Linked DNA regions of Mus musculus: regions 1, 2, 3 and 4 are each reported to be linked to region 5. Evidence: microRNA targets listed by miRTarBase, many of them from high-throughput screens and not tested one by one. Region 5 holds a microRNA gene; each other region holds the end of a gene's coding sequence.
What was found. The annotated mature microRNA mmu-miR-26a-5p reads UUCAAGUAAUCCAGGAUAGGCU and lies in region 5 at 2,231-2,252, shown strand. An mRNA with a match to its seed (bases 2 to 7 or 8) in the 3' UTR can be bound and repressed. Matches are read on the target gene's strand: a 7mer-m8 pairs with bases 2 to 8, a 7mer-A1 pairs with bases 2 to 7 and ends in A, and an 8mer does both.

Region 1: miRTarBase lists Phf6 as a target of mmu-miR-26a-5p. Seed matches in the 3' UTR shown: 7mer-A1 at 3,980-3,986 and 8mer at 5,167-5,174.
Region 2: miRTarBase lists Sapcd2 as a target of mmu-miR-26a-5p. The part of its 3' UTR that is shown has no 7-base or 8-base seed match.
Region 3: the mRNA of Etnk1 is a reported target of mmu-miR-26a-5p. Seed matches in the 3' UTR shown: 7mer-A1 at 3,404-3,410 and 7mer-A1 at 2,646-2,652.
Region 4: miRTarBase lists Mlf2 as a target of mmu-miR-26a-5p. The part of its 3' UTR that is shown has no 7-base or 8-base seed match.

The regions. Positions count from the first base shown.
Region 1 is chrX:52,951,480-52,957,929 of GRCm38, forward strand. Phf6 (PHD finger protein 6) reads left to right here. Exons shown (of 11, transcript NM_027642.2): 10 at 1,973-2,099; 11 at 2,427-5,482. The coding sequence ends at 2,099. Among named protein-coding and RNA genes, the nearest start is that of Hprt, 33 kb to the right of the region's middle.
Region 2 is chr2:25,374,888-25,381,337 of GRCm38, forward strand. Sapcd2 (suppressor APC domain containing 2) reads left to right here. Exons shown (of 7, transcript NM_001081085.2): 3 at 65-177; 4 at 798-944; 5 at 1,081-1,188; 6 at 1,277-1,387; 7 at 1,465-3,326. The coding sequence ends at 1,593. Among named protein-coding and RNA genes, the nearest start is that of Sapcd2, 6.1 kb to the left of the region's middle.
Region 3 is chr6:143,202,933-143,209,115 of GRCm38, reverse strand. It overlaps Etnk1 (ethanolamine kinase 1), which reads right to left. Exons shown (of 8, transcript NM_029250.2): 7 at 5,964-6,037; 8 at 570-5,732. The coding sequence ends at 5,660. Among named protein-coding and RNA genes, the nearest start is that of Gm52926, 37 kb to the left of the region's middle.
Region 4 is chr6:124,933,599-124,940,048 of GRCm38, reverse strand. Mlf2 (myeloid leukemia factor 2) reads right to left here. Exons shown (of 9, transcript NM_001170341.1): 5 at 6,042-6,095; 6 at 5,630-5,758; 7 at 5,304-5,463; 8 at 4,604-4,816; 9 at 3,900-4,426. The coding sequence ends at 4,629. Among named protein-coding and RNA genes, the nearest start is that of Mlf2, 5.4 kb to the right of the region's middle.
Region 5 is chr10:126,993,313-126,999,762 of GRCm38, forward strand. It overlaps Mir26a-2 (microRNA 26a-2), which reads left to right and starts at 2,218; the gene lies at 2,218-2,301. It overlaps Ctdsp2 (CTD (carboxy-terminal domain, RNA polymerase II, polypeptide A) small phosphatase 2), which reads left to right. Exons shown (of 8, transcript NM_001113470.1): 5 at 540-596; 6 at 2,543-2,635; 7 at 2,714-2,899; 8 at 3,049-6,450. The coding sequence ends at 3,174. It overlaps Mir546 (microRNA 546), which reads left to right and starts at 5,128; the gene lies at 5,128-5,248.

The DNA.
Region 1 (6,450 bases), not on the chromosome of region 5:
TATTCAGTTATTATAATACCCCAAGCCCATCATTGCTTTCTGTTCTATTCAAATGTTCCTTGTAAACCTTTGGGGAGTAAATGCCTATTTTTATCCAGAACTGACCACAAGAGAGTACTGTTCTATTTTTGTCTAATGTAGAAGTTACCTGAAACCAGGTTTGAGTTAGCCCACCATTAGCATCTTTTTTTTATCCTCCCTTCTTTTTGTTACTATATACTAACTGAATAAGTGGGTTTTGTTACAGCACACATATAATATACTTTGATCACACTCAGCCGTTACTTTCTTCTGCCCCTCCCCCCATCCTTAATAATCACCCTTTTAGTTTCGTGGTCTTTTCCAGCCCGTAACCTCCACATACTTGGTCTTCATGGAATTGATCTTAATTAACAGGATGGTCTCCACTTCCATCCATTTTCCTGCACCAATAAAAATGTATTCTTGATAGCTAAGCAAAGTTCTAGTGAACGCATATACTACATTTTCTTCAGATCATCTTTTCTGTGTATGTGCACATGTGTGCATGAGTGTGTTTCTGGGGATTGAACATGTACATGCTAGATAAATAAGTCTACTACTGAAGTATATTCCTAGGCCTTTTTTCTTTTCTCATCACCCCCCCCCCCATTTTTTTTTGAGCCAGGGTCTCACTGGGTTTTCTAGTCAGGCCTTGAACTTGCATTCTTCATTCCATAGCTAATTATCAAAAGGCACATACATATACAAGGACACACTCTGCCTTGGTCACTGCTACCTTAATGACATGAAGTATAGCATCATTGATAGGGGAACATTGGAAGTCTCGTGCCTCCAGAAGTGAGCAGGATTAGTTATGCAGTATGCTGGTTGATGGACTAAAGATGGACCTGTAGCTTAGCAAACTCAGATTTGATTCCTAGTTTATATGAAATGGAGTAAGAGAGAAGCAAAGAAAATGGCATTAGACAAATCCATAGTATGGTGCAGCTGACAAGCTGTCTGTTTCAGTCGGGTCTTTAATAGGTCAGTGTTGTGACATGAAATGAAATTGGGAGGTCCAGTATAGAGGAAGAGAAACATAGCCAAGTAAGATGCAGGTGGAAGAGCTGACCCATGAAGAGATTGTAGGGAAGGCAAGGACGCTTGTGTGTGATGTGACAGCATTGGAAGACTTTGAGGAAGGCTGTATCAAAATAAAAGCAGAAAGCAACAGTGTATAGAGAATAGATATTCCCTTCCCTCTGTGTGTGTGTGTGTGTGTGTGTATGGTGTGGTGTATTGTTCGCTCATTTGTGTTCTTCTACAATATTTGTGTTCTTCTACAATGTGGGTCCTGGGGATTAAACACTGGCCAGTGGGGTTGGTGGCAAGCACCTTTAATCCATCCCTTGGCCAGAGAGATGCTCAGTAGTTAAGAACACTTTGTGCTCCTTGAGAAGATCCAGTACCCTTCTTTGGCTTTTGGCTGAACATATACACACAGACAAATACAAAGTAGATATGTTTTAAAACTGTATCTCAAAATATAGTTGTAAAGTATGTACATGAAATAACTTTGTGGCTTTTAATTAGTTCATTAGTTTACCTCAAAGCTGACTCTTGGATTTTGTTTGGAATTGTTTTAAAACACAGTCTCAGTCCAGAACCCAGGCTGGCCTCAAACTCACCAAAGCCCTCCTATCCATAAAAGTTGTGTTTTAAAAGAAATTTCATAAGTCTATTTTATTTATTTGTTGGGAGGCACATGTGTGTGGCATGGTGTACAAGTGGAGATCTGAGGACAAGTTCTGGGTGTCTGTTGTCTCCTTCTGACAATAAGCATGTGGGCCTATTGTCAGGTGCCGTTATCTGATGACATATGATACTAAGTATGAAGGAGCAAACCCATATTTTATAAGAGACCCAACATCCTCTGCTAGTAGTTATATAATTATATTCTTATCAACATTAGAAGAAGGATTTTTGAGATGTTTGTCTTTCATCATTGTAGACTCTATTGTAAAAACCATAGTGGAAATGATGAGCGAGATGAAGAAGATGAGGAGCGAGAGAGTAAAAGCCGTGGAAGAGTAGCGATTGATCAGCAGCTAACCCAGCAGCAGCTTAATGGAAACTAGGTATGGAAGTTGATTTAAAGCTCTGTTGTCGGAACACCGTGCACACTAAAACAGAATGATGAGATGCAGCAAAACTATTAAGCCTATTGTATAGAGTTCCTAATGTGGGGCCAGGATGCTTAGTTAGGATTCTACAGGCTGCCCTGTAGAGTTGTATTTGCTTTTCTTTACCTGGTCCGTTTTAGAGCCATAAACAAGCTATCTACTTCATCAGTAAACATAGTTAGGATATGGCATTAGTAAGATACCCTTGTTCCTTAATAATGTTATGTCAATTATATCACCTTAAGCATCATATTTTACTTTTTTTTATCATCTTTTAAACAGGTTCGTGGGACAGAGAGAGTTAGAAAACTGAGAAAAAACAACTATAACTCCTGTGCTTCTTTTCCACTTTTTTCTAAAATAAAGGGTTTGTAACTTTTTACTGCCCGACTCTTAGATCCTTCATTGAACTGCCTAAATCACCTTGTTAGTTTTCTGAGCCTTCAGTAGACGGCCGAATTTGACATATTGATATTACGTAGCTGTAGTTTGCAGTTTCTGGGAAGCAGTCAAAACACTATTAGCCCTGTGTATACTGTCAGCAGTTAAAACAGACATTGAATGAAGTAAACTGTATTTCTGGACAGAACAAAGTTGTACTGTTTAGAGTATGTAAGTTTGTGTAGTAGATCCACGCTCAAAGGAAACCAGAAGCAAGTTGTACTCCACCTTGCAAACATGCCTCTGGTAGCAACACCTGGCAATTTGGGCAATGGAAACGACAAATGAAGAGACTCTTCTTTTTGTCTTGGCTTTGACAGCACATGCTCTAACCATTTCTTTCACGAAGCGTGCTGAAGCCTACCTGTGGTCCTTTTTAGAGTTATTCTCACTGAGCAGCATGGACTCTGGGCGACTGGTGATGATAAGCTCTGAGCTCCAGTGCTTCTGCCAAAACTCTGGACAGTACACCTTTCTGTGCTGTACAGAGAGCTTCTGGCAAAATAATGGAATCGTATCAAGATCAAAATAATGTTTGGCAACATCAGATTAAACCTCTTTGAAATTCAAGAGGTCAGCAATGCGCTAAAGGACTTTGGACATCATGTCTGAAACCAGCTTCTCTCAAGTGCCCTGTTGTGTGGAACACTTCACATATTGGCCCAGCATATATAAGGAGGTCTTATATGCTAACATTTTTTTTAAAGGAACCATCTTTGTGCAAAACAGTATTTCTTTTTGACTCTGTGACCACTATTTTAGAAACATTATTTAATGCTTTCAGTCATCAGTTTGCTTACAGATTGAATAAGCTTTTGTGCCCTGTTTTTCTTCGAGGGCTCGGAAGTGTTTTCTCAATCACCAGATTTTTAGAAAGGCTTTCTTTCCACTGGCATTTCTCACTCGTGACACACATCCACTTACCTGCTGAAGCACATTTACATATTTCTTTATGGCAAAACCAAAAAAGTTAGTTGTGGTCTGCCTAATATTACCATAGCACCTCAGTATGAAAGGTAAGGATTCTGAGTTCCACATCATTAGTTAACCTCCCATAGTGAATCAGATTTGCAAATAAGAAATAACGTACTAACTTGACTGTACATCCATCTATTCTGTAGCTGGTAGAACAGCGTTTTGAAATGTAACAGGTGGAAAATTACACTGTGCTTATTGACTGAATTTTTAAACTGCTTGTCCCTTAAGATCATGTTTGTTAAGGTGTGTATTTACACATTTACTTAAATCAAGGGACTCAATGCTTGCTTTCTTTTAACCATCTTTTATTGTTATTTTAGAAGGAAACTAGCTTTAGTGGATTGCCTTGTGCGTCTTCTCCTTTCGCTCTTAATATGCCATGATGTGTATGTGATTAATTTTCAAGGTTCATCATGACTTGAAGTGCAAGGACAGATCTCAGTTTGTTTACCAAGCGATGCGACTTTTCCCAAAGGATCTGTACTTTATTTCCTTATAACAGCTTGAAAACCATTCTTTTTTAAATCTTTAAATCACTGTGTCTAGGTAATTTTTCCATTGTGTGCCATAGAACTTACCCATGGAGAAATGGAGCCCCTTCATTTTTGGACAACTACTGTAATGATTTTTTTTAAGAAAAATGGAAGGTGCCAGGGGTAATTATGGCCAGTCAATAATTATATAAAGGACTTCAAATACTATAGCCGTCAGTTGATGGATTTGATATGTAGTACATGTATGATTTTGTATGGGTTTCTTCAGCCCTTTCTCTGCCACTAGCAACCAGAAAAGCACTTTACCTTTTGGTTGGTTAGATAAGTGGCTAACTACCTGTTTTTCTCACTGTGGTGTGATTGGCTAGATAACCTTCATTTAAAGTTGAAATGTAAACTGAAGTCACATTAAACACTCACGTTTGGCTGTAAACTTCCAATAGTTTGATTCTTTGTTCCTGTTTTCATTCTATGCTGAGTAAAAGTGCCTTACAATGTAAAAATTGTACAGTACTTACGTTCCCAAGTAGCAGCTTCACCATCTGGCTAGGCGTCACATTGTGGTAGGAGTATTAGATCAATAGACCTCAGCAGTGTATTTACTGTACAACTCTTAAGTCCTTAACTGTAGTTTTAATAAGCATGACATTATTTGGCAAATATATGGCATTTACATCATTTCCAAAAATACTGCCATTGCTGTCTACTGCGTATTTTTAGCCTGAAATTTTGATGCGTCTTTTTTTCTTGTTTTTTTTTCTTTATTTCTTTTGTTCCCTTTTGTCATTATTAATATTAAACCGTGTAATCTTTGCAAGCGTATATTGAAGATTATTCTGGAGCATTTATTGCCTTACCAGAAATGTTAGTAAGAAATGTTCTTTAGAGTAGAAGGGTAGACTTGAGTTTCTATACTTTAATAAGACCTCTTTGTTCCTGGGGGGAGGGGGGAGTTTTGCTTTCATCTCATTGTTTTAAAGCCCACACAAGAAATTAATTTCATGTCAAGGATCAGCAGTTTTCAAACTTGAGGTGGTTCTTAGTACACACGACTCAAGATACTAACAGAGTAACATGATCTACAGATCTGCTATTGAATCGAATCTATGTACTTGAACAAATGTGTGAATCTCAAATATCTCAAAGCAAAAGTGTTGTAGAATGTTGTTGCTTTTTGAAAAAGCACTGAAGTTAGACCAAGGCACAGTTTTGTTTTAGCAGACATTTAAGTTAATTGTAAAGATAAGGAATGCATCATGGGTCAAAAATCAAACATTCCTCAATGTTATGTATATTTTGTTCCTGTTATATTGGCTTTATTTTCAAAATTGTAGTTTGTAGTATTAGTTTCCTTTTAATGGTATTCTTGCATATACTATTCATTCAATAAATGAGTTCTGGATTTCAGGTCTGTGTCTGCTTTGTAAAAGTGTGTATCGGGTTATTTGTACCAGCAATAGTGCCATGTTTCTTTCACTCTTCCTTTACTTCAAGGGGAAATACAAATGCCTAGGATGTTTAATAATAGCTCGACAGCAAACAGATATGAGAGGGGGACTAGCGAGTAGTTCCAGCATACTCTTAGCCTTGACTTCAGTCCCCTGGTATGGTAGATAAAGCACATAACTCAAAATGCGGATGGACTGGAGGGGTGTGGTTAAACAAAAATGAATATGATCTGCCCAGAGTTTCACAATATAAAGATGTCATCATGGAAAGAATTAGCAGCCTTTGAAAGACAGTAGATTTAGAGCTTATTTTGGTCCTTCTAATACATGATGCAGATCCCCATGGCTTAAATCAAGTCCACTGCCTCCAAATCAGTATGTAACTCTGAAAATGAACACACCAAAATGCCTAGTACAGATTATTTGACAGGTAACAGGTCTTTGAGCTATTCCACATCATAGACTTAGGTTACTCCCTTTTCCACAGACTGCTTGCTGCTGAGCTTTGCACATCTGTTGTGCTTGATCCTACCCAGGTCAGAAATCGAAGTTTTGATTCCTGGACTTCACTTTTCCCAGACAGTTTCTAAACCTGCATTCGTATGGAAAGATGGCCGGGACACACAGTAGTATGCTTTCCTATGCATCCTAACTACCTGGCACATTGTGTGTGTGTGTGAGAGAGAGAGAGAGAGAGACAGACAGACAGACAGACAGACAGAGGTAGAGAGAGAGAGAGTATTTAAAATCCATGATTAAGTAACAACTAAAAGACTATAATAAAAACATAAAAATGAGTTATATGGTTTTCTTTACCTAGTTACACCTGTTGACAACTTGCTTTTTGTTTCAGTCTACACTCCCTAGCAATTTCTGAAAGTCATACCCAAACCCTATTACTATTTCCTAGCAAAATTTAATGACAGGGTCATCTGTCTATTTATC
Region 2 (6,450 bases), not on the chromosome of region 5:
GATGAGATTATGAGGCCATTAGGCTTGCCCAGAGTTAAGCTATGTCCCCGACTGTCTGTTACAGGTGCAGCAGCCTGTAAGACCCTGGGCAAGGGCACAGGTGAAGCCCGGCAGGCTCCACGGGCCCGAGGCGAGCGTCGAAGGCATACCATCACCAATGGTGTGGACTGCAGCCTGGTAAGAGGGGCCAGGACTCTGAGGGACTCTGTGTATCCAGAAGGTTGGAAACCAGGGAGATCCCATGGGCCTGGTTACTTGGGGAATCCCTGTAGGAGAACTGGTCAGCTTTTTCCCTTCTTGGGCTTAAGGGAAGACAGACAAAGTCAGGCACAGGGAGAAGAGGCTCCTTAGAGATGCCTGGAGACAGAGTGTGGGACCCTGCTCTGCCTACCAGGTAGGCTCACCTCTGCAGGCCAGCTTAGTGCACAAAGAGTATAATTACTTTAAGCTAGAGTGCTGAGTCTGTTCAGTCACTCCGCTGCCCTGGGAAGCCTCAGTAGAGGGGCTGAGAGGCCAGTCTCCAGTATCACCATCATCCAAAGAGGAGAAACTAGGCTATGTTCTCCAAGGCATACGTTGGAACCTTCCCTGGATAAGCTGGTGCTTTCCGTCGTGGGTGCATTGGCAGACTACACAGGTGCTGATGTCATTCATTGTGTCTGTGTGCTAGACTGCCTGTGGACAGGTCTCAGCTCCCACACCTGCAGCTCCTGGAGCACAAAGGTATGTGCAGGTGTGCATAGAGCCAGTCTGCTTGCTGTCATGAGTACATTTCCATGCTCACGTGTGTGTTATAGTTGAAGCAGATGAAGGAGTTAGACCAGGAACAGGAGGTGCTTCTGCAGGGCCTGGAGATGATGGCACGGGGCCGAGACTGGTACCAGCAGCAGCTGCAGCGTGTGCAGGAACGTCAGCGCCGCCTGAGCCAGAGCAGAGCTGCTGCAGTAAGTGCCAGGCCAGCCCTGACAACAGGACCCAAGTTGCCCTGGGGTGGGGCTCCCTTGAGGCTCTGAGCTGAGACTTGAGATGAACAGGTGTGCCAGGTTCCGGGACTTCCTCATGGTCCCGCTTCTTTTCCAGGACTTTGGGGCTGAAGGAAGCCCCCGCCCTCTGGGGAGGTTGCTGCCCAAAGTACAGGAGGTGGCCCGGTGCCTGGGGGAGCTGTTGACTGCAGCCTGCTCTGGCAGAGTGAGTGCTCTGGAGGCTGCCTGGCATCCCTTGTCCTTGTTCTGGATGCTATGCCAGGAAAGGTCTGGCTCACTGTGTACTTCCACAGGCTCTGCCTTCGTCCTCTTTAGGGCCCCTGGGCCCTCCCTCACCCTCAACTCCAGTCTGGCAGCAACAGACCATCCTCATGCTGAAAGAACAGAACCGGCTTCTCACTCAGGTGAGGTGTGGGAAGATGGGGCTGGGGCTGGAGGCCCAGCAAACCCTGACCGCCTGCCTGCCTGCTCGCCTGCCCAGGAGGTGACTGATAAGAGTGAGCGCATCACGCAGCTGGAGCAGGAGAAGTCTGCACTCATCAAGCAGCTGTTTGAGGCCCGAGCGCTCAGCCAGCAGGATTCGGGACCTCTGGACTCCACTTTCATCTAGTTGGTTGTACCTCTCTAGGACAAGTGCACACAGACTTAGCTTCAGCTCCATGACACTGCCGGGAGCCTGTCTTCTGACTGAAGACCACCAGGGCTTAGACCTCAGAGCCCTCAAGGAGGCAGCTGCCTCCAGACTTGGGTGCTGCTAGAAATGTACTCTGCCGGAAGCTGCCACTTGCCACTGTCAGTGGGTGGCGGAGGATCATCCTCACGTTTACCTGATTTCAGGCAGCCCCTACAGAGAAGGGGGCATGTTTACGTCTGTCCTGATCCACCTGGCAGGGTTTCCTGGGATCACTGGCTTAGTAAAAAGTACTGGTCACACTGGGCTGTATTTCTCATAATGCCCAGCAGGGGCTGCTAGTTGAGCTTAGTTCCTCTGCCCTGTCTTACCTTGGTATTACTGAGTGAGTGAGCAGATAGATTTTTGAGCTGAGGGTGGGCTAGGAGGCCCAGGAACTAGGAGGTTAGAGGTTCCTTCTGTCCACCAGAGGCACTATGGAAAGGTGGTTGTGGCTCAGATAGGAGCAGAAGGGAGACATGGAATGGGAGGAGGATGGGGCTATCTAATAGAGGGCTCTGTGCCTGTTGGAAGAGCCACAAAGTCAGGGGTTGTGTGTAACAGGCTGAGAAGGAAAATCTGGCTGCAGCTGGACCAGGCTAGTGTGGTTCCTAGAAGGAAGCCAATAACTTGGCTTACCCACCTTACCAAAACTAACTGTCTTTAAACTGTTAACTAACTGGGGAAAGATGGCATCAAGTTAGCTCAGGTTGTGGCCATCCCCCTAAGGAGGTCCTATCCCCCCAAATAGATAAGTTTGGGCCTCCCAGCCAAGTCATGCAGTGCACTGTGGGCAGAATACATCATTTATTATTATTTATTTTAAAGACAGGGTTTCTCTGTGTAGCCCTGACTGTCCTGGCACTCTCTATGTAGAGCAGGCTGGTCTCAAACTCTCAGAGATCTGCCTCTCTGGTACTGGGATTAAAGGTGTGTGCCACCACACCCAGCACGTCTGCATCTTTTAATGCCCTACTTGGCTCGGCAGTGTCATCGTTGACTTATCCATAGGAAAGCAACCCAGGCGTGTGGGAAGAAACTGAGCCTGTGGATGTGACTCTCTCCCTGCTTATGCCTCCCATTGGCAGCTTGGGTGGGCACAGATTGGATGAGGAGAACCTATTTAGCCTGTTCTGGTGGAGCACTGAGTCGTCACAGGTGAGTTCTGTGGCCTGAAGACTCCAGTGTGGAATACGAACCCATTGTGTTTGGCCAGCAAAGCGACCTGATCAAGTACAAGTTAGTCCAGCACCCAAACCATCTTTTTCAGGAACTGGAGTGGTTTCTGGGCATGGAAGAAAGCTAGTTCTAAAAGGTGGTTGTATTCTGCAAGATTAGTTTACCCAGGTGGACTTGCCATCTAGAGACAGGTTTCCATAGCAACAGGTTGGGTCTGCCCCTCCATCCCCATAGCCTCCTTTGTGTTCCTTGTTTTACCTCTGTACCCTTCCATTCCATGGCTTGCCACTCCTGTCCCTCAGGTCCTAGAGACACTTGACTAGACTCCAGACTGGGGCTGACTCTGCCTATCCCATAGAGATAGGTCTCAGCAAGGTCTAGGCCTTGCCAGGCTCTTCAGATGGCCAGGCCACCTCAGATTCACAGCTTCACGTTCTGTTCTTGGCTTTGCCCAAGATAGCTATTCTATCTACAAAATAGAATCCTTTCTCTGCACACTAGGCCCTATTTAAATTTGCTCATGTCATGTGACACAGCAGAAAAACAAAGGTGGTGGCTGGGGTGGCAGAGAGGCAGAAGGGTCTTTTGAGTTTGAGACCAGCCTAGTTGACAGAGTAAGTTCCAGGGCTGCAGGGAGAAACCCTGTCTCAAGCCCTCACATACAGTTGGGTGGGCATCTCACTCTCTGAAGTGTCTGTCACACCTTGAAGAGCTGCCTTTCCCTCCTGACATCATCACAGGGTCAGAGGTAAGAGATGGAACTGTTAACATAGCCTCTGCTCCAGGGTGACATTCCTTGGGAGACCTCTCACGTGCCAGGAGGTATATTGAAACAAGATGACACAGATGGGGATTCAGCAAACATAGCCTCACAGCCTTGATATTCCAAGGAGGTGAAAACCACATGCTCGTGCTTTCTATAACACTATCGTTTCTTGGAAGTCTGTGGCCTGTAGCCAGACTGCCTGGGAGGCCCTAGAGTCCCCAAGGGAGGATTTATTTTTATTTCCAGACACCGGGTTTCTGTGTAATCCTAGCTGTCCTGGAACTCAGTCTATAGACCAGCCTTGTCTCAGAGATCCACCTGCCTCTGCCCCCTGAGAGTAAGGATTAAGGGTTTTCGCCACCACTCTCAAGGCAGTGTTTTACGTGGTCCTGATAGGCCGAGGGGCACTGCCAGAGGCCAGTGCGGATCCTCATGGAGCCCCAGACGCAGTAGTATAGAGTAGGAAAGTCTCCTGCAGGCTCACCTGTCTTTTCGAACTGCATACTTGACCCTTGGGTGTCGGTCATGCACATAAACTCCCAGCTGTGACAACACAAACTGTCTATAGAGACATCTTTCACTGCTCTCTGGGGAAACTGCCCTGGTTGAGAGGAACACAGATACAACAAACAGGTTTCAAGCATTTTGTGTACAGTAAGTTCTAAGGAGATGAGCTTTTCTAGGCTTAAAAAACAAAACACAGGTCACAGAAGCCAACAAAAGACAAGATCTGAGCGGGGACGCTGGGGCACTAGAGTGGGCACAGTAAACAGTAACGACACTTTAGCTAAAGTGAAAAGGGATTCTTTTTTTTTTTTTTTTTTTTTTTTTTTTTGGATTTTCGAGACAGGGTTTCTCTGTGTAGCCCTGGCTGTCCTGGAACTCACTCTGTAGACCAGGCTGGGCTAGAACTCAGAAATCTGCCTGCCTCTGCCTCCTGAGTGCTGGGATTAAAGGCGTGCACCACCACGACCAGCTGATAAAGGAATTCTTAAACATGTGAATAAGGAATAGCAGGTGCAAAAGGTGTTACCTTTCAATAGAGTAAAAGGATGTCAGACAATGTGAATCAAGTAGAACTTCTAGAAATGAAAAACACTGCAAGTAAGTTTCCCCAACCCTTCATTCCAGCCAGAAAAGAACTATGTTTCCAGAAAGTTTAGGAAGCTGTTCAGAAGACAACCCTAAGCAAAGGACAGAGGGGGAGCCGGAGGAACCGGGGGAGGTAAAGGACCTTGGCTGATGGGTGAGGCTGGGTATGGGAGACAGAAGTGTTCCGTATGTCTGCAGCCCTGTGAGTATCGTGGGCTGTGTGGAGGCATGGATAGTTCTGAATACCATTCAACACGAAACTGTGAGTTTACTTTAAGCCTAAGTTTTTGGTGTTTTGTCCATGGCTGTATCTCTCTGAACATGCCTGGTCTCATCTGGTGGGATTTCTTATCCCCCCTGTTCTTGAACATGAGATTGTGTGACATCTTGTAGATGACATCGTGTTCCGATGTCAGAAGGTTAGACTTGCCAGCCCACCATCAGCTCTGACCATCAAGAACACCAGCAGTAACTGGAGAAGGAGAAACTCAATCTTGCTTTTACAAGGTCACAAAAGGAATACAATGACCAAAGATGAATCACCCATCAAAAACCCACTAGAGTGGCAAGAAAACAGAAGAGACTTATCTAAAGGAAGAAAGAGAACTAGCCAGAAGGAACAGGGACCGCTAGGAGGGCAGTGTTGGGGGCAGGTATGAGGGGATGCTGGCAGTGTGTGTGCCGGGGCAGGGGATATTGAGAACAAACAGTATAATGACGCACATGTATAGAAATGCCATTAAGAATCCATTATTTGGGCTGGATTCTGGCCTATTGAGAGCACATGGATTCAGTTCCTAGTACCCACATGCTAGCCAGACTTGCAAGCAGGAATAACACTAATATACATAAAAAACAAACTAAACTAAAAGGCACAGTAGGGTGCCTGCACTTGGGAGGCAGATGCAAATGGATCTCTAAGTTCTAGGCCAGTCAGAGCTACATAGCCAGATCCTGTCTCAAAAGCAAAGCAAACAAAACCCCTTATTTTTAGATAGCAATGTAAAATTAACTTTAAAAACTCAAAGGCCAAAACAATGTAAGTATTCACTTCAAAGTGTACCAAGAGATGCTATCTTTACAGCACAGTGGCTCAAAACATTTTCAAACAAAATTGGAAGTTTACCACCTAAAGGCTATCAGTAATGGGAATCTGTGGCTGTATCAGGAGGAAGGTAAAACTCAGGAAAGATTAATTGATAAAAACTGGGTTGGCCGGGCAGTGGTGGCACGAGCCTTTAATCCCAGCACTTGGGAGGCAGAGGCAGGCAGATTTCTGAGTTCAAGGCCAGTCTGGTCTACAAAGTGAGTTCCAGGACAGCCAGGGCCACACAGAGAAACCCTGTCTAGAAAACCAAAAAGCAAACAAAAAAACAGAGGGTTGTAGAACACATGAACCCCCGTGGTTTAAAAAAAAACACCATTTTTGTATGTATGTACCTATGACATGTTTGTATGTATGACAGGGTTTCTCTGTAATAGCCACAGTTGTCCTGGAACCCATCCTGTAGACCAGGCTGGCCTTGAACTCACGAGATCTGCCTTCGTCTGCCTCCCAAGTGCTGGGATTAAAGCCATGCACCACCACACCCAGCTATGAAAAACTTTATATGGTGTCTGTGGGTGGAGGGCCTGGGGCTCCAGACTTGGAATTGTTTGATAGCCTAGCCAAGGTAACTGCAGGGCACTGTAACAGACACGAGTGAGAACTGAGTCCCAAAGCCTAGCCCTTTTCATTAAGGACGTAGGGGGATTGGACT
Region 3 (6,183 bases), not on the chromosome of region 5:
AAAGGGTGCAGAGTCCTTAGAACCCTTGCTGGAAGTATGTTACGTCACCAAGTGGACTTTGGAAATGTATAGCCTTACCCCATTTCCTGTCCTCTTTTTCTATGTGGCTGAAATGCAATCAGCCTAATAGGGTAGAGGATGTCTTTAATCCTAGCACTCAGGAAGCAGAGGCAGGCGGATCTCTTTTGAGTCCTAGCATGCTTCAACCTGGGCTCATATTTTCTTGGTTAGGTTGGGAGCCAGCAAGCCTCAATGATCATTTGTGCCCCATGCCCCTGGAGCTGAGGTTAGAGGTGAGTGGAGAGCTTGCTATGTGGATGTTGGGATACAATTTTCAGTCGTCATGACTACTGGGTAACTCCTCTCCTAAGAAGAAGGATCTCCAGCCCTCATTACTAACTCTGGGAAACTTTTGTTTCTTCTCTTGTTTTAGGGATCAAACCTAAGACACTGACTGCCCTTGCTAGGCAAATGTTCTACAACTCAGCTCCAACCCTTTCAAGTCATGTACTTCCATATATTCATTCTACAAGAGAGAGTCTTAATTGAGTATGAACCACATGGACACATTATAGTTAGAACTCAACTTTATTGTTACAACCAATGTTTATTTACAGAATATAAATCTCTTCAAAAAGATACATTCCTTCATTTAATCAATGGTAGAAAGCCTTATTAAACAGAAATAAAGCCTAAGCCGCACTTTATCGTAAAAGAAACACGGCTTCATTGCAAGTTCATGAACACAGAACACAAATGTACTTCACTTCAGCAGCGTCATGAATGAGGCTGTTGATTTTCACTGGCAATGCCAATTTATACATGGAACAAATTTTACTTAAATTAACAGTAGTAAAAATTAAATTTCAAACATAAAAATATGTAACAACAAAGGAAAAAGCAGGAAGTATCTCTGCTAGCAGACAGATAAGCAAGCTGTCCAGCACGCAGACAGTGCTGCGGAGTCGGGGAAGCTAGAACAAAGGCTGCGCTCACTGCGAGGTATCACTCCACGGTCAGTGCTGAGACTAGCCATAGCACTTAGTCTATACAAAGCAGCATTAGACTACAATTCACATTTGAGAAACACAAATTTAAGATCCTGTGCCATAGCTCCCCAATTCAACAGACAGCTAATGCAAAGACAACTCCTCACTTCAGCTTTTTCCCTTGCATATGATAGGTAATAGCATGTCTTCTTCTTTCAATCAGGACATGTGACCTTGCTGTACAAAAGCTCCTAAATACAGGAAAGTTCTTACAAGTTCCATTAGTTTACAGTTACTTTAGTACATGTAAATACAGAGGACGACTCCAGATTACTAACAAGGAACACTCAGTACGTCGCTACCTACAACAAACAGCAGCACGCCACAGTGCAGGGGTGGACAACAGGCACTCCCCGCCCTCCACCGCTCTGCAGGTGTCATTGGGTTTCAACCTAGCTCTCAAGAGTTTGCAGCTAGGAAGCCTGCAATTCCAATCGGATAGGCTTTCCTGCTCCACCTTCGCAAACTAATCAAAAGACAATGTGGTGTTCTCAGTTTTCTATAACTACCTAGTGTTTTATTAAAACTTACTTGACAGGATCTAAAGGACCACCATGGGTAAGACAACCAAAAGATAAAATTATAACTATTTTAAAGAGTATTTTTGCAAGTGCATACGCCATACAATGCACAATGGACAAAGATAGGTTGGTGGTGCCATAGTCTACAGTCCAGGAGAGAAAGAAGCGTCAGCCAACACAGGAGTTAAAGTGCTTATCGATCAAGCATCACGACTTGTTTCTAATCCAAATACTTTGGGGTTTCTTCCCGTATCAAACTGAGCCAAAAGTGAAAATTTTCAGCATTAAAAACTGCTAAAACCAATCTAACTCATTCTGTAACGTGTCACTGAATTTAGCCTTCAAGAATTCAAAGTAATGCAAAGCCTTCAGTATTTTCGTTTACAGAAACATGGACTGAAATTCCAGAAATGGGGATGTTTTGTCTGGAGCAGCTGATAGCATTTGTCAAACCCAAGACTGAACACTGCTGTCACTGTGGGGAAAGGCGGCTCACCACCTACTCAGAACAGGAACGGGCCAGAGGATGCAGCTCAGCTTCACAGTAAAGGCCAGCCTACAATCTGACAGAGGAAAATCAGCAGCAGTTGAAGCCAGAGACCTGTCAGGAGGCTCTCCACCTGCACACACCTTCCCTGTGAGGTAGCAGAAGCTGCTGCCACGAGGACAACCCCAGGACAAAGCATGGTGACAGGTGACACGTTAACAGGGAATACTTAAGTCTACAGTACTCTGGAATGCAGGATAAAATGCTTAAAAGCAAGTTAGAGAGAAAAAAGTAAAGTCCCACCTGATCCTACTGCCCTCTGTAAGTCAGTCAGTGAGGTCACCAGGAGACACGGGCTCTGCGGACAACTGAGACAACTGAGTACTTTTCAAATATTCTAACTTTTCTTTCGAGTGTTTGCGGGAATTCTTTTTTGTTAGCAACACAAAGTTAAAATAAACATTTGGGGGTCAGGGAGAGAAAACTAGTTGGCCCACACTGAGCCACTCCAGAGGAGAGGCCTGACAAACGTGAGAGACGTCATTTGCCCTGTGTCTCGTATGGATGAGATTTACATTCACATTGAATTTCAAGTTTTTGTAGAAAGTGTCAACAAACTCTGAAAATAGAAAAGGGGACCACACTTCAGTTTACAAACAAATTATATTTTTAGTTTCCTTTAGTTTCAAATTGTGACTCAAAGATGAGCTCTATAAATATACTGCTTCCCAGAATCTAACCTACAAAAAAAATTAATAGCCAAGTAAAAAATGGAGAAAAGTCGTATTAGGCACTGAGAGGCTAAATAAATAAATGCCAACGTTAACTAAACCATTAAACCTTCCTTCCAGTTCCTGCTATCTTACTGCTCGGTTCCCAGCCTAATGACAACAGGCTGGATCATTTAGTGACAGAAAAACTTCTACAAAGGAAAATGCAGAACTACACACTCTTTAGGCAAGACAACACTCACACTAATTGCAGCAGCTTATTTACACCGTCCTATTTACACTCCAAGCAGACCTAGTTGATGAGGGTTGTGCTCATGTTCATCTCAGGCAGATCATGCCAACAGCAAGACGGGGCCACCACATCTCATTTCCAGAAATGGTGGTAGCACAGAGGGAGAGGAAGGCTATCAAATATCACTGGTCAGGTTGAAGGTCATACAGTGTGCCAGGGAAACAGGATGGGGGTGGAGGGCAGAAATGGGGAATTTTGCTTGTGAAAGCATCCAGGCCACTACGGTCTATTGATTACATTGAACATCCATGAATGCCACTTCTAACATCCACTTTCACATTTACAAAACGAGCTTACTACCAGTTGAGTGATTAGGTAAGGCATTCAAGTTCCTTAGCTGAACAAAAGAAGGCAACTGATATCTAGCAAGCCACAGGACACATTTTAGAGGGATGCTCTTCAGAACAGTCCCAATATACCCTCTTTAGAATCCCTTACATGGTCAATACAAAGAAAGACATTTTGAATCCTCTTGATAGTCTACACCATGATCCCCAAAAGCTGTATGAGAAGCGGGTGCATCAGAGCACCCAAATCTGGCCAAGGAATGGGGGCAAGAGTTCCCGTGTGCTGGTCTCTCTCCACGATCTCTTACGTGCTAGCAGGGTGAACAAGGACGCCTCGCTGTCATTGCACTCACGCCACAGGAGCCTGTCACATTTCCGCTGGCTGCTTTGCAGTCCAGCAGCACCGGCAGCAGCCGCAGCCGCCGCAGCACAGTGAGCCTCCATTCAAAGCATTCTCACGAACAGGAACAGACTAGCAACACTGTCTTCTCCAGGGTTTCCACATGACACACACTCTCGGATTTTAAGGAGGAAAGAAAAGAATCAGGAGGCTCACATTTTTATCATCCTACGACAATGTTTCAACCATGAATGAAAATTCCACTAAGCCAGTTGTTTTTTCTTTTTTCAGGTTTGCTTGAACGTTGTAACGAGCTTGTCATTATTTGTTTCCATTCAAGGAAGTCAGCAAAATTGTAATGATCTTACAGTAAGTAACGTGGTTCATAAAAACAAACATGAACATGACAGCACTGGGGAGGTAGAAACCGAAGCCAGGTCTAACACTGTTAGAGACACATATTTAAGAGTGTATATATGTGGCTAGAATTTACCATTTCAAATGGCATGTTTCTACTTTATTAGGTTTGAACACCTTGAGACAATCCAAGTATTTGAAAGCACTTGGCTGAGAACATAAGTCATGTGGAACACCAGACAATCTTAGGATAGATCTGTAGTGCATACTTTAAATATGCAGATCCATGGAGCCAACTTTGTACATAAGCACTTATGTGACCAAAGTGCAAAGCCTGTCTGACTAATCTAAGTAAAGTTACCCCTGACTGCTCAACCCACAGAGCAGTCTTCAAAGATTAAAGCCTTCTTGTCTACCTCAAAGACCTAACTTTCTTTCATGAAATAGTTGCCTCCCCCTACACATCCACAAAATAAAAACTAGACTGACAAAACCAAGATAAATCAAAACAAGTCCTCCTACCACAACTACTGTCTAATTCACATTTCCTTATTTGTTAGATTGTAAGTAGTCAAGCTCAATGACCTAGCTAAATGTTCCTTACTGATTCTGTAACTGCTTCAACAACACTACTCTGGAATCACATGTATAATTAATCATTTGCTGACTCTACAGACACAAAACCAACTTAAGGAATGGATCTGAATAAAAAGCATCTAAATGATATTCCTTGCTTCCAAGTATGATGAACTCTGTATGTTTGTTTCAAATACTAACAATACCAGCTATTACTTAATGAACAAAAACAGAGTATCTTAAGTAAAACAAAACTTTTGGTTAGAAACAATTTGATAGGTAAATTCTAAAACTTGGGACTATGACCTTAAATGACTGTATCTAGTATTTGAAAACATGACTTAATAACAGATTTTAACATTAAATTGTTATATTCCAGGCTTATACAGTAAATATATTTTATATTGTCAGGCTATGTAGAGACAATTTAATTCTAAGTTGTACTCCCCCAAAAGAAATGATTTCCAATTTCCAATTCAAAAAAGTATACCCCAGGAGACAGTAACTCCCTTACTCCCCCCTCAATGGGCCCTTCTCTAGAATACCCTAAGTTACTACTGAGGCAGTGACTGCCAAGGTTGAGAGTAAATGATTCATTTTACAAAGGTTACATTGAACAACAAGAATGTTTTTCTGAAATTAAATCTATCAACAAAACCTTTTAAAGATTTCCACAATATTCTCATTGCATACACTGAACCAACAAATGAAAGATCAAAGTAGTCAGTCATGTCAAATCTGTAATAAATAATTCACATGTAACATGGCTGTACTGCCACAGGCTAAAGCCCCACTCCTCACTCTCCCTGCTGATGGTCAACTCTTTAGCCCGCCACACACTGACAGCAGTAAGCATATCTCAACATCATTCTATTTAAAAATAGGTTGGTTGTTTAGAGGCATAATCCTTAAAGCAAGATAACCAAATTAAATGAGTTTTAACAAATATTGGCTTTTGGAATTTCTCAGAAACATCCACAAGCGTCGCTCGGCTCCTGGAGAACAGCGAGGCCTCTTCTTTACTCGGGCATTTTTAGTGCTGTGACCTCAGGCTTCATTTTAAAGTACTGGTTAAAACGGACAACCGCATACCTAGTGGGGAAAGAACAAGGCAGAGTCAGAGCTGCCCTGAGCTGACTGCACAGAGGCCACACTGCCAGTGTGCATGCTTCACCTGCTGCTGCTGCCCCTGCTGGACACGCCCCGTGCTGAGCATGTAAGTGCATGTGGCTTTCACAATGCTGCAAACAGACACGGGGCTCCCTGTCCTGTCTACACTAGCTCAACCTCGTGGAAAAAGAACCTCAGTTAGCATCGTCTTACCCAAGGAAGTCGAACTCGATCGTGGAGTACTTAGCTTGTATCAAAGCCCAGAGTCCCCAAAAGAAATGAGAAGCCTTCAAGAGAAGAAAGAGCAATAAGTATGGAAACATACTTGGTACATGATACAAAAATTGTTATTTCTATACATGTAGGGTACTTCCTTTTTTCTCTACTTTCTAGCCTTCAAAATATCTTTTTCCTTCTGTTAATTTTTACACAA
Region 4 (6,450 bases), not on the chromosome of region 5:
AACCAAACCAAACCAAACCAGCAGAGGTAAAAGGTCTCTTTGCTGCCCCTAGTTTAACAAGAGCGGAGAGAAGGGACTTTTGGCCCTTGATGCTCCCCCACCCCTGGACCTTGGGAGCAGGACTTGTCCTGACATGCAGAATCAAGTTAGCATTTTAATACATGAGCTGAAACAGGGCTGCAGTGGCGTTCACCTTTAATCCCAGCACTTGGGAGGCAGAGGCAGGTAGATCTCTGTGAGTTCTAGGCCAGCCTGGTCTACAGAATGAATTCCAGGACAGCCAAGGCTATGAGAGAGACCTTGCCTCAAAAACAAACAAACAAAACAAAACAAAAATTAGATGGGTAGATAGAGAGATAGAATCTAACTAACAGAATAGACTGCTGGGTTTACTACTTTTTAATTTAGTTTCTTTTGAGACATTATATAGCCTGGGGCTGGCATCCAACTACTGCAGTACGTAGCCCACTCTGGTCTGGAGTTTAGTTCTTCTTCAGCCTCCGGAGTGAAGGTACTGGGATTACAGGTGAGTGTCACATGCCCAGCATTGCTGTGATCTAAGTGCAGGTCACTTCCTGATTCTCCAGGTAACGTCATCTATAGGACTTGGATACAGAGTAGGGGAAGACAGAGAAAATGCCGAATTTGGGACCATTACAACAGGAGAGAGAACTCCAAACCGCAGCAGAGCAGAGCCAAGCCTCTAGTTGCCACCTGTCATCTCAGCATCGCACTGAAGGCTGAGATGGGGGGAAGCAAAGGATGATGGTTAGGGGGCGGAGTCCATGCCAAGAGGATGGTTTCCAGTTCGTACCTGAAGCGTTTTTTAGGAGCTCGGAGGACAGTAGGGGCTGAAGGATCACCAGAGTCATAGAAACCTAAGAACAGGGCTGGTGAGATGGCTCAGTGAGTAAGAGCACCCGACTGCTCTTCCGAAGGTCCGAAGTTCAAATCCCAGCAACCACATGGTGGCTCACAACCATCTGTAACAAGATCTGACGCCCTCTTCTGGTGTATCTGAAGACAACTACAGTGTACCAGTGTACTTACATATAATAAATAAATAAATCTTTAAAAAAAAAAAAAAAAAGAAACCTAAGAACACTGGTTTGTGTTCCCGATGATGTGTCCTCTGCACTCCATTCACAATTCTGAGGTGTGATTCCATGAGTCCACACCTCCAGCTTCTAGCAAAGCCCACACAGGGAACGAACTATGAAAGATGATCCTCTTACAGTTAGCAGCTCCTAAGCAGTAGAGTTAGGCTGGGGCTCGCTCACTACTGAGCATGCTCCTCTGCATCACTTGGCTTAGCCTCACGCCCTAGACCCGCCCCTTCTGACCTATACTTTTCTGGGGTGAGGCCAGGCCTGAGTATGTCTATCTACTGTCTGGGGACTGAGGCGGAACCTATTGCGGAGGAGGCTGAGCCCAGATGGAGAGCTGACCAAAGCAACACACCAGCATTCCTGAGGAGAGTAACTTTTTTTTTTTTTTTTCAGTTTTTTGAGAAAGGGTCTCTTAGCCAGTGGTGGTGGCTTGATCTTTTGGTCCCAGCAGTAGGGAAGCAGAGGCAGGTGGATCTCTTGAGTTCAACATCAGCCTGGTCTACAGAGGGACTTGCAGCACAGCCAGGGCTACATGAGAGCCTGCCTGGAAAAACAAAAAGAAAGTGTGTATGTGTAAGGGAGAGAGGGAGGAAGAGAGAGAGAGAGACAGAAACAGAGAGGGAGAAGGGGAGGCAGAAAGAGAGAGAGGGAGAGAGACTGACTCTTCACAGTTCTAACCTGGAACTCACTCTGTAGACCACGCTGTAGACCAGAACTCACAGAGGCCTGCCTGCCTCTGCTTCCCAGTGCTGGTATCAAAGGCATGTGCCACCACTTTCTATTTGCTTCCCAGCTCTTCTTCACTGTGACCTCAGAGGTGAGGTGCTGGGAATAGTCACCCAAATGACTTGTTCTTCGGTAACTCAGTCTCTTGCTGGCACCTTGTATCCTACAACATGTCGCTAAGTAAGCACTACCATCACGTGGGCCAGGCTGAAGCAAGGTGATCATGACCCACCCGAGAGAGCAGAGACCAGGGGAGTATTAGTTCCTAAGGACTGGGGCTGTAGCTCAGGGGTAGGACACTTGTCGAGCATATGTGAGAAAGCCCCAGGTCCTATGCCCAGCACTACACAAACAGAACAATGAACCTGTGTGCCTGAAAACCGAGACCCAAACTGTGAAGTCCTGGCTGTGACAGAGAAGCCAGGGTCCTGGCCCTGCTCTAGACAACCCATAGCTACACTTGAGAGCTGGTTGGACTAGCTCCAGCCTGGAACCCTACCACCAGGGAGAACCCAGCCTGCAAAACAAACAGACTCCAAAGAACATTGGAATGTGGGGACTAGCACTGGAATGCAGAGGGACGCATGAACTACACCCTAAGATTGCTTGCAGTTGGAATGTAACTATGTAATTGAGGCCCAGGTAAGCAAGAAGACCAAGCTATAGGAAGACTGGCCTGGAGACCAAGTTTCTGGTTTTCTTCAACCCTAGCTAACCCCTCAGGAGACTGATGAGAGCAACTTGTACACACAGGAAGTACGTGCCTAGCCATCATCATGTCAGGGGTTATACTTAAATGACTGGGGATGCTTTGAGCTTCAATTACCAGCTTCAAAACCCAGGCAATGCTGCCCCTGCAGGCATGAGCCTTCACCAGCCCTCTAGCCAGTGATTGTCTAAGCTAAGTCAGGACCTGAATGTCATACAAAATCCTTTCTTCCTTGAGAGGGTCTTTCCCTTTTTTTTTTTTTTTTTGAGACAGTTTTGACTATATAGTCCTGATTGGCCTCAATTGTGGAAATCCACCTGCTTCCAGATGGATTAAAGACATTCACCACCACCACCACGCTTGGCCTTCTATTTTAACTTTTATCAGCAAAATAACAGCTGAATAGACTGAATAGGCTGAAACGCTTCAGCATGGTGGTACAGGCCTATAACCCAAGCAGGAGGAGTAGGAACTCAGGGTTGCTCTCAGCTACAGTGTGAGACCTGTCTGCAGAAGAAAAAGAAAAAAAAAAAAGAAAAAAAGAAAGAAACCTGGCTCAGTGGCCAAGTGCTTGCCCAGCATGTAGGAGGGACAGGGTGACCCATTTGGCTGCAAAGCAAGAGTTGAGCATTCAGAGAAATGTGAGCTCTTCCTAGCCTCCAGACTGCTCAGGTTCCAGCTTACTCTCCACTGCTCTCCTTCCCTGGCTCAAGTTCTCAGCAGCTAGGGGCTGATGAGTTTGAGAAATCCTTCCCTCTTGAAACTCGGGTAAAGCTACCTGTGCATGTCTGCCCAGCCTTGGCAAACAACCCTGCCCAAGGGACGGAAGGGACAGCCAATTCCATAGGTTACAGTCTGTACCCCAATATGACCCTGGAGTGAAGTTACACCAGGGAGAGCAAACACCCCCACCCCATCCCTGCTGAGCTGCAACAGCCCTGTCACTACCCAGGAACTGGTATGGTCTGAATGAAAATGGTCCCCGCAGGCTCATATAATTCAATGTTTGGTGCCCAGTTGTGGTGGACTATTTAGGAAGGACTAAGGTGTGTCACTGGGTTTGAGGTTCCAAAAGGCCAAGCCATTTCCAGTCTCTCTCTCCATCCTGCTTGTGGAGCAGATGTAGGCCAACTGCTCTAGCATCATGCCTGCCTGCCGCTCTGTTCCCCGCCCTGATGGCCATACCTCTGCAACAAGCAATCCCCCAATTAAATGCTTTCTTTTATATGCTGCCTTGGTTATGGCGTTTCATCACAGCAAAAGAAACCCTAAGACAGCTGGGCCACATGTGGAGCCAAGATGGCAGAAGGTAGGATTGAGCAGGGTTGAACTGGGGCAAAAGTACAGCCAGAATCTTCACTTTTTTCCATTCTCCTTTATTCCATAAACACCTAGTTACAAGTTGCACAAATCATTAGTTTTTATAAAGGCAGAGAAGGGTAAAGGAAAGTGTTTCTGTGATGGGTGGGGGAAGGGACAAAGAATTGGAACTAGTCCACTTTCTCCACAGCCCTTATAGGACCATGGCACCTGCAGTGGGGCTCTGAGGAAGAGGTGGGCAAGGGTCAGGGGAGCTGAGGGACGGAGATCCCTAAACCCAGAGCTTTCCCCAAAACCCTTCGATGCGTGGCAGGGGCTCGGGAAGATGAGGCGGCTTGGAGATGGAGCAGCAACATGAGAACTCAAGTTAGTGGATACAGGATGGGTGGGACACGCAGTGAGGGGTGAAGATGGAAACGTAGGTAAGGGGGGCAGTAGAAGGCTCTCCCTGAGACCCAGGGAGAGGCGGGGCCAGCTTGCCTGTTAATTTAATATTAAATTGGGATAGAGGTTGGAAAGGACAGTCATTTCAAGGATGGTTACTCAGCCGCTCAGCCTGCACCTGGAGGAAGGAAAGATGAGCCTGTCAGAGAAAGGACACAGAAGTCTGGGGTCAGGAGCATCTTCCAGCCACTCAGAAGGAGCAAGTCTCCTGTCCCACGACAGCTTAACTACATTGATCTGCCAGCCAGCCTCCTCTGGTCTGTCACATTCCCACTATTCCCTCTCAGGCACTTACATGAGAAGCTGAGAGCCTGGGGCCTTCACCAGTCATAACGACGGGACTGTCGGGAGGGGGAGTCCTCAGGTCCCTGGATCGCCAGGCGGGGAGGCCCCTCAGCCCTTCGCCCCCCACCCACAGATGCCTCATGCCGTCGAAATTCCAGAGGACGCTGCTGTCTGTATCGGGATGTCTCCCTTCTCCATTCATCATCAAATGCTGCTGCCTCACCTAAAGAGGACAGAGAGCAGCCATGGAAGCCACAGTATTCTGAGATCAGAAACCAGGGCAAAGGTTGAGATCATGCATGGGAGAATGGGGGTTGGGAGCCATCTTAGCTTCAACACAGTTCCTGGATGCCACTGGCAAGCCTGAGGCACAACTACTGGGGTTACACACCATGGGGAGGCACAATTACTGGAGTTATACATCACGAAAGCTAATAAAGCACTCATTTGAGAAAGACAAAGTAAAGGGTGGAAAAGAAAAGCCACCAATCCCGATAGAGGAAACTACAACCATCAGCACCTGACGTCAGTCAAGCTCTGCCCCCTCCCTGGCAACACCTGACTCAGCCCTGAAGCTGGCAACAGAGCCTAAGCACAGGGCTCACCCACAGCTCTGCCTGAGATACCTGTGGGATGGTAGAGAAAGCTATGCTCCAGTCTACAGCAACTAGCTCAGGGACTGCTGCCCAGAAGAAGACAGGCTCACTCACTTTCATCCAGGTTGATGTAGTCCTGCCGCTCTTCCTGGTCCCCTGTGCGGTGGTTTCGGGAGCGCTGGAGGATGTGAGCCCTATCCCGAATGTGATGCCCAATGGACATCTGCTCTAGACCACTGTCTGAGTCCCGGACAGTCCTCCGTGTCTCCCGGATCTGGGACGAGGTGAATAGGCTCATTCACTTCTCCCCACAAAGCCCTGGCTACATCTCCCCGGGACGAACCAGCCACCCACGACCCAGTCCTGAAAACAGATGACCCTGGTTCCTGTGGATGCCGATCCATCCTACCTCCTCTGAGATAGAGGGGTTCCTTACTCACCCCGCCTGGGGCAGAGCGCATCTCCGACGTCTCCTGGTAAACCTTGGGCGCGCCGTCCCCAGTGTTGGAGTAGGAGATAACAGTGGAGGAGGAGAAGGTCTGGCAGTTGCCCCCTGCAGCCATGTGCTCCTGAGGAGGGACTGAATGAGGGCCTACTCTGCAGAAGGGAGCTCCCTTCAGCTGCTGGCTCTTGCTACATCTTCCTCAAAATACGTGAGGATGGGAAACTCGCATCACAACCGCCCCGATTCCTCAGGCCCAACACTAGCATACGTAATCACTCATGGGTCTAAGAACAAACACAGGACCCCTGGTGCTCTGACTCAACTTAGTCACTAGCTCACCCCACACCCCCAACCATGTTGGCTGCTACGGAGATCAAGGCAGGGGAAGACTATGGGGCAAGTCATACCATGTTCCCGATCATGTCGTTCATCATCCCAAACATGTCCATGAAACCGCCGGACTGGGGAAAGATGAGAGTCCAGAAGACTAGTCAGCGGTTTGGGGCCAGCCACTCACCTGAGGACAGACCCCTTTTCCTTCTTACATCTAGCCTGACCACTCAAGTTCCTCCCCATGAACTGCTGGCTACCTTCTCCGGCTCTGTGACCGCCCTAATGCTTCTCCTGCCTGCCGTCCCAATCTTTTTTTTTTTTTTTTAAATTTGGTTTTTTTTGAGACAGGGTTTCTCTGTGTAGCCCTGGCTGTCCAGGAACTCACTCTGTAGACCAGGCTGGCCTCGGAACTCAGAAATCCGCCTGCCTCTGCCTCCAGAGTGCTGGGATTAAAGGCGTTCGCCACCACACCCAGCTCATCCC
Region 5 (6,450 bases):
CTAAATGCTGTGTCTGTCTCGACTTACCGTGGAAAAAGTAGGTAAGCATTATCTGGTTTTCCTGACTGGTGCGTTTGTTAACTCAAGAAAGCCTTAAGTTGGGTGCAGAGGGAACTTCCACAATCCCTGTGCTTGGGAAACTGAGGCAGGGAAATCACAAGTTCCAGAATAACATGAGTTACCCAGTAAGAGCCAGTCAGTCTTGAAAGAGCCAGGCATGCATGCTTGTGTGCATAGCTCACGGAAACAGGAGATGAACACGGCTAGCCCAAAGAGCCAGGCATGCATGCCTGTGTGCATAGCTCATGAGAGCAGGAGGTGAAGGCTAGCCCAGACTATGTAGCAAGACCCCATCTCAAAAGCCCTGAAACTTACCTCAGGTAGAATTTGGTGGGTAGGATGGATGGGTGGATGAAGGAGAAGGGAAACCGGAAAATATGTGATACTTTTTGCCCTGTGCTGGCTAAGAACTGCTCAGTGGGCTGTCTCCAGGGGGTAGGGTTTCCTGTCTGCTGACACTGTGCACTTCTGCCTTCTAGCCGATCAACAATGCTGACTTCATAGTGCCTGTAGAGATTGAGGGGACCACGCACCAGGTGAGCTGTTTGCCAGCATACACCCTGCCTCAAAGGGAAACTGCCTCTCAACCTGTTTATCATCAGCTTCCATGTTTGTTGATGGCTTGTCTCCAGATCATCCACACTTCCCTCTAGCCAACACTCCTGTCTCTATGTAGTCAGGCTGTTTGCAAGAACTGTTGGCTTTTTTAAAAATATTTTTAAAGAATTATTTGTTTTATGTATATGAGTACACTTAACTGTATTCAGACACACCAGAAGAGGGCATTGGATTCCATTAGAGATGGTTGTGAGCCACCATGTGGTTGCTGGGATTTGAACTCAGGACCTCAGAAGAGCAGTCAATGCTCTTAACCACTGAGCCATCTCTCCAGCCCAGGATAGGGTCTCTTTATTTAATTCTAGCTGACTTGGACCTCACAGAGGGCTGGAGTTAATTAAAGGCCTTCACCATTGTGTGCAGCCCCTGGCATTTTCACATCATAGTCCTAGCCATCACTGTGGCTTTTTAAATGTGCATTACTGGTTTTGCCTGCGTGTGTGTCTGTGTGAGGGTGTCGAATCCCCTGGAACCAGAGTTACAGTTGTGAGCTGCCAGGGGTTGCTGGGAATTGAACCCAGCTCCTCAATGAAGAGCATATGCTGTCCAGCCCATGCAGTCCATGCTTAGACCAGGCGAGCCTTGCTCTGTGTGCAGGGCTGTTAGGATTTGCTCCTGTGCCCTCTGGTGAAGAGCTACTGAATGTGTCTTCCCTGGCCCAGGCCCCTCCTATGACACCTTTCTGACCTCTACACTGGTTTCTGTAAGTGCTCCATATGCATCTGTCAGAGTGGCAGAGTCCAGGCTCTGCCGTGTACACCCTGCTGCCTAGGGTTAAGGACCACGAGGCATTGGTGAGAGACCATGTGCCCAGAGGCATGCTGGTCGGCCCAGGGGAGGGCCGGAGACAGTGATGCAGACATCCTAGCAAGCATGAGACCTGTTTTCAGACTGAGAAAGTTCAGCTTGAGACTGTCCTGGGTTTGTCATCGTAGCCCTCTGCCCCTTTACGAACTTCTGTACAGAGCCTCGAAGCTGTGGCTCTTTACTCCACCCATCACCCCCTGCTGTCTAGTTGAGGAAATAGAAATGTACAGAATGTATGGGGCTCTGGCATGGGCAGAAGGGGCCTGAGTGAGAGGGCTGCCTGCCATGTGGATCTGAGGAGAGCCTGGGAGGAGAGCAATGCTTGGTGAGGAAGGGGCTTGTTTGTGAGGCTTAAGAAGTGGAAGGTGATGGATAGATCCATTTGCAGCTGCATGGAGGGTTCTGCTGCTAAATGGGAGGGCTCTGCTCAGTTGGTGCTGATGTGGGCTAGGAGGGACTGGGGTGGGCACACCCCCTGTGCTGCTTTAAGGAAGTGAGTGAGTGGGCCTAAGGAACACTTGTGCAGGCTGAAGTAAGAAAGAAAGAAGAAGCAGCAGATCATAGACTGGGTGGCGAGTTAGTTGAAGAACCTTTAAAAGCGAGCAAGTCCTCGAAGCTGGTGGTGTGCACACAAACCTACGAGGGTGTGTGTTTGAAGAAGTTTGTGGTTCTTGCCAGATGGGACCTACACAAGCCGTCCTGCTGGAATCCCGTACAGAAGGCTACTGTGGAGGCTGCGGCTGGATTCAAGTAATCCAGGATAGGCTGTGTCCGTCCATGAGGCCTGTTCTTGATTACTTGTTTCTGGAGGCAGCGCATGGTCTGCCCTCAATGAAGATGGCTCCTGGGAGTGCATTCCTTCCTGCCGGGTTAGGGTTGGGCCTGTTGAGGCAGCAGAAGCCTGGTAACATGGTAGAGCTGTCCATGGTGGGGCAGAGGTCTCAGTGTCTCGACCTGGGTATCTAGGCCTGCTTGCTTTTCTGTCAGTGCACAGGCAGAGCCGGTGCTGTGTCCTTGGCCTTGTGGGGTTCCTACAGCAATCCACTCTGTCTCCCAGGTATATGTGCTCAAGAGGCCTTACGTCGATGAGTTCCTGAGACGGATGGGGGAGCTCTTCGAATGTGTTCTCTTCACTGCCAGCTTGGCCAAGGTACCTGACTGCAGGAGGGGCAGAAGGCAGGGGAGAGCCAGCCCTCAGCCTAGGCTAAAGCTTCTCCTTCTTTTCCAGTATGCTGACCCTGTGACTGATCTCCTGGACCGGTGCGGGGTGTTCCGGGCCCGCCTGTTCCGAGAGGCTTGTGTGTTCCACCAGGGCTGCTATGTCAAGGACCTCAGCCGCCTGGGAAGGGACCTGAGGAAAACTGTCATCCTGGACAACTCCCCTGCATCTTACATCTTCCACCCAGAAAATGCAGTGAGTGCTCGCATCAGGGACTGGGGTGGCTGCAGGCTGGGCCCGTGGGCTTTATCAGAGGAGTCCACAACCCCTGTGTGGCCCAGCAGCCTCCAATGGCACTGGAAAGGAAAGGAAATATCAGATAATGTCACTTTTTCCTGCCCCAGGTGCCTGTGCAGTCCTGGTTTGATGACATGGCAGATACAGAGTTGCTGAACCTGATTCCAGTCTTCGAGGAGCTAAGTGGAACTGATGATGTCTACACCAGCCTTGGGCAGCTGCGGGCCCCTTAGCCTTCCTGCTCCAAGAAACGGCCATCCCAACAGGGGACTCTGCTACACTGTGCCTTTGTGGTCAGCCTCACTGACGGGGTCTGCAAGTAGCCAGGGCGTGTGGGACAAAAGCAGGTCACACGCAGAGCAGGAAATCAGACCAAGACCCAGAGCTCTCTGCACCCCGTGCTCAGTTCCCAGGTGGTTGTGTGGGTGTGTGTGCGTGCATGTGCCCGTCCGGTAAACTATGGTCCTGGGTGCCCAGTTGTGCAGTAGGGGGAGAAGCTGAAAGATAAGGACTCAACCCAAGTCATTTGTCTTCTTTCCTGCTATGCTGTGAGCTACTGAGCTTTACAGCCATGAAAACTATTGTAGGCTCCCTCGCCAAACCATGGCTTTCCCTCAGCATCAAGACCTGTGCCAAGGAGAAGGGAGAGGCCGGAGGCTGCTTTGGATGCCCAGACACACATCTTTCAGAAAACACAGAAACCTAGCCAGCAGCTGCAGACATGTTTGGGAATATGAGAGCATGTTCGCAGACCCACCAGGTTCTGTGTCCTATGGGCTACACCTGGCTCCAGCAAGAATGCCTGCCATGGGCACTTCTCTGTACCCGGGCTCCAGTGCCAGGCCAGCCTCTCACTCCCAAGCCATAGTCCTACTCCCATGGGAAAGGAGGTCTTCTCTCTGCCCTGGAGGAGGACATATAGCTGATTTCTGTTCTTTTAACTCTTAAAAATCTCTTTCTAAACTTGGAGTGGTTTATATTCGCCCGAGCTCCAGTCCTGGGCCTGAGGTTTGTGTGGGAAGCGCTGGGGTACAAAGAAAATGCAAATGTTCAATGCAAGATGTCTGTCTCCTTGCGTGTAGATCCCAAAAGTGCTCTTCAGGGGTTCTGTGCTAGCTGATGCAAGGACATTAGCTCCAAAGGCTGGGGAGGGCTTGGCTCTCCCTCTGTGTCTTCCTGGTGTCCCGCCCTGGCCAGCTCTCGTCTGCTCTCGCCTTTATCCTTCTCGGCTGCTGCTCTTCCTCTCCAGAGCCTTGGGAGAAGGACTTTCCCCGGTTGTACTTAATTGATTGGTTGTCCCAAGTGTTGCTCTTACTTGATTTGCCAAATGCCTCCTGCTTCTCGTTATAGGACTGAGTGAGGTCCTCATAGCTCTGTGCTCTGGGCAGCTCTGAGCTCTCAGCCCTGTTGCTTTCAATGTCAGTCACAGAGTGGAAGTTTCCCCAAAGTGGAAAGCTACCATTGGGAACACAAGGGGCCCCTGAGGGGCCTCCACCTCACTGCCTTAAGTGAGTCCCGCCCACTCCCTGCCTCCCTCCGAGGTGGGCGGGAGTTCCTACCCCATCTCTGCTTCCCCTGGAGGCCGGCCAGCGTTTGTGGGTTGGTTCAGGTGTGGTACCTCCCACTCAGGAGTCAATATTTTCAAATTTTTCTAGTTTCCACACACGAGGTCCTGCCTGGGGTTTGAGAAAGCCTGGTGGAGGAGTGTGGTGGTGTGAGTGGAGACTGGCTGGCATTCCTCCAGCACTCTGCAGACTTCTTCCTGGGCCCGAGGCTATGGAGCCTTGGCTTTCACTTCTGTGACAAACACATGCCATTTCCCCAGCCTCATTTGCTGGTGTCTGTAGGGTCCTCCCAAGGTGAGCTGAGGGCTGCAGGTGCTAGCCAGGAACATGGGAGCTTGACTGTGGCTTCAGGTCCAGACCCTGATCTCACTGGCATCCCAATACTGCAGGAGGGGTCTTCTCACAAAGCTCTGAGGGCTGGTCTTGACTAAGCAATAAGAGCCTCAGAGTTGATTGAATTTTAAGGTCCCTTTCTGGCTTCTTGGTTCTCCATGTGACCAAAGCCCAGTGTGGCTTCATGGGAGCCCTGTTACTTCTCCATGAAACCCCAGCTCTCTAGGCCTGACTGCCACCAGAGTCCTCTTACCACCTGCAGTCTGCCACAAAGATGCCATATCAACTCCTCTCTTCCCAAAACTAAACAGGATCTATCATGGTGGCACGGAGTCAGCTAGATGTTGTCTCTTGCTATCCCTGTGCTAGTTCCATGTTTTAGAAGCAAAGTGATACTGGGGAGGAGAGGAGGGCAAGTGAGAGGAGCCAGTGCCTCCTGAAGCCCTTGCTCCACTGCCACCAGCCCGCCTGCCCCAGTGCAGACTGGTCTTCAGGAGTCAGTAGACCACCGGACCAGGTGTCAGCATCCACTCCAAGCCATGCTAGGAATCTGCCCCCTGCCGGGTTCAGCTCTTTAAGGTGCCTCTTCAGGGACACAGTGTGTGTCTGATTGGGCTTCGCATCAAAAGCCTGACGTTCCTGTCCCTCTTATAGGGGGAGCTTTGGACACAGGACCAGTTTGATAAAGGGCCAGGTAAGGGTTTCCACTCTGCACATTGTAGAGGGGACACCGAAGGCCCATGGGTCCCTAATTAAAGAAGTTGAGTGAATTTGCCTTCGTTCAACCAGGGACCTATCTCACTCCCTCCCAAAGATTTTTGTATAATTGTATAACCCCCCTCCCCCTGTTAACAGTGGCTCAGAAAAGCTTTGTACTAAAAGCATGGGACCCTCACAGCAACCATTCCTGGGAGATGGGTCCCTTATAGGTCCATGACCTGCTCTGTTCAGAGGCCTCTTGGCAGTGTGGCCTGTTTGTGCTGTCCTGCATCCAGTGTGTTGGCCTGGCTAAGTGAAAACGGTGAGCTGTTTCCCCTTTGGGCTACTTAACCACGGCTACTCCTTTTTTAAAAATGTCCTAGTTCTCCCCTACACACACACACACACACACGGTTTGATGAATTTCCAAACCACGGCTACTCCTTTTTTAAAAACGGGTTTGAACTCCTGTTTAGCCAAGAGTGATCTTGAGCTGGTCTCCTGCCTCCACCCCCTGAGTGCTGGGGTTACAGGTGATAGCTGGTCTCCTGCCTCCACCTCCTGAGTGCTGGGGTTACAGGTGATCGCTGGTCTCCTGCCTCCACCTCCTGAGTGCTGGGGTTACAGGTGATCGCTGGTCTCCTGCCTCCACCCCCTGAGTGCTGGGGTTACAGGTGTGATCACCTTGCTGGCTTGTGAGGTGCTGGGGACAACCCAGGGCTTCGTGCATGTCAGGCACACACTCCCAACTAAGCTACATCCCCAGTCCCTCTTTCTAGAAAACAGATAAGTCCATGTTCAGGGGAGAAGAGGTCACAGGTCAGGCCAGCTGCCCCATCCTTTAGTTCGGGGTTAGCTCCCAGAACTGCCCTGCACCATAAGCTGGTGATTCTCCATGCCTGTCCTTACCCC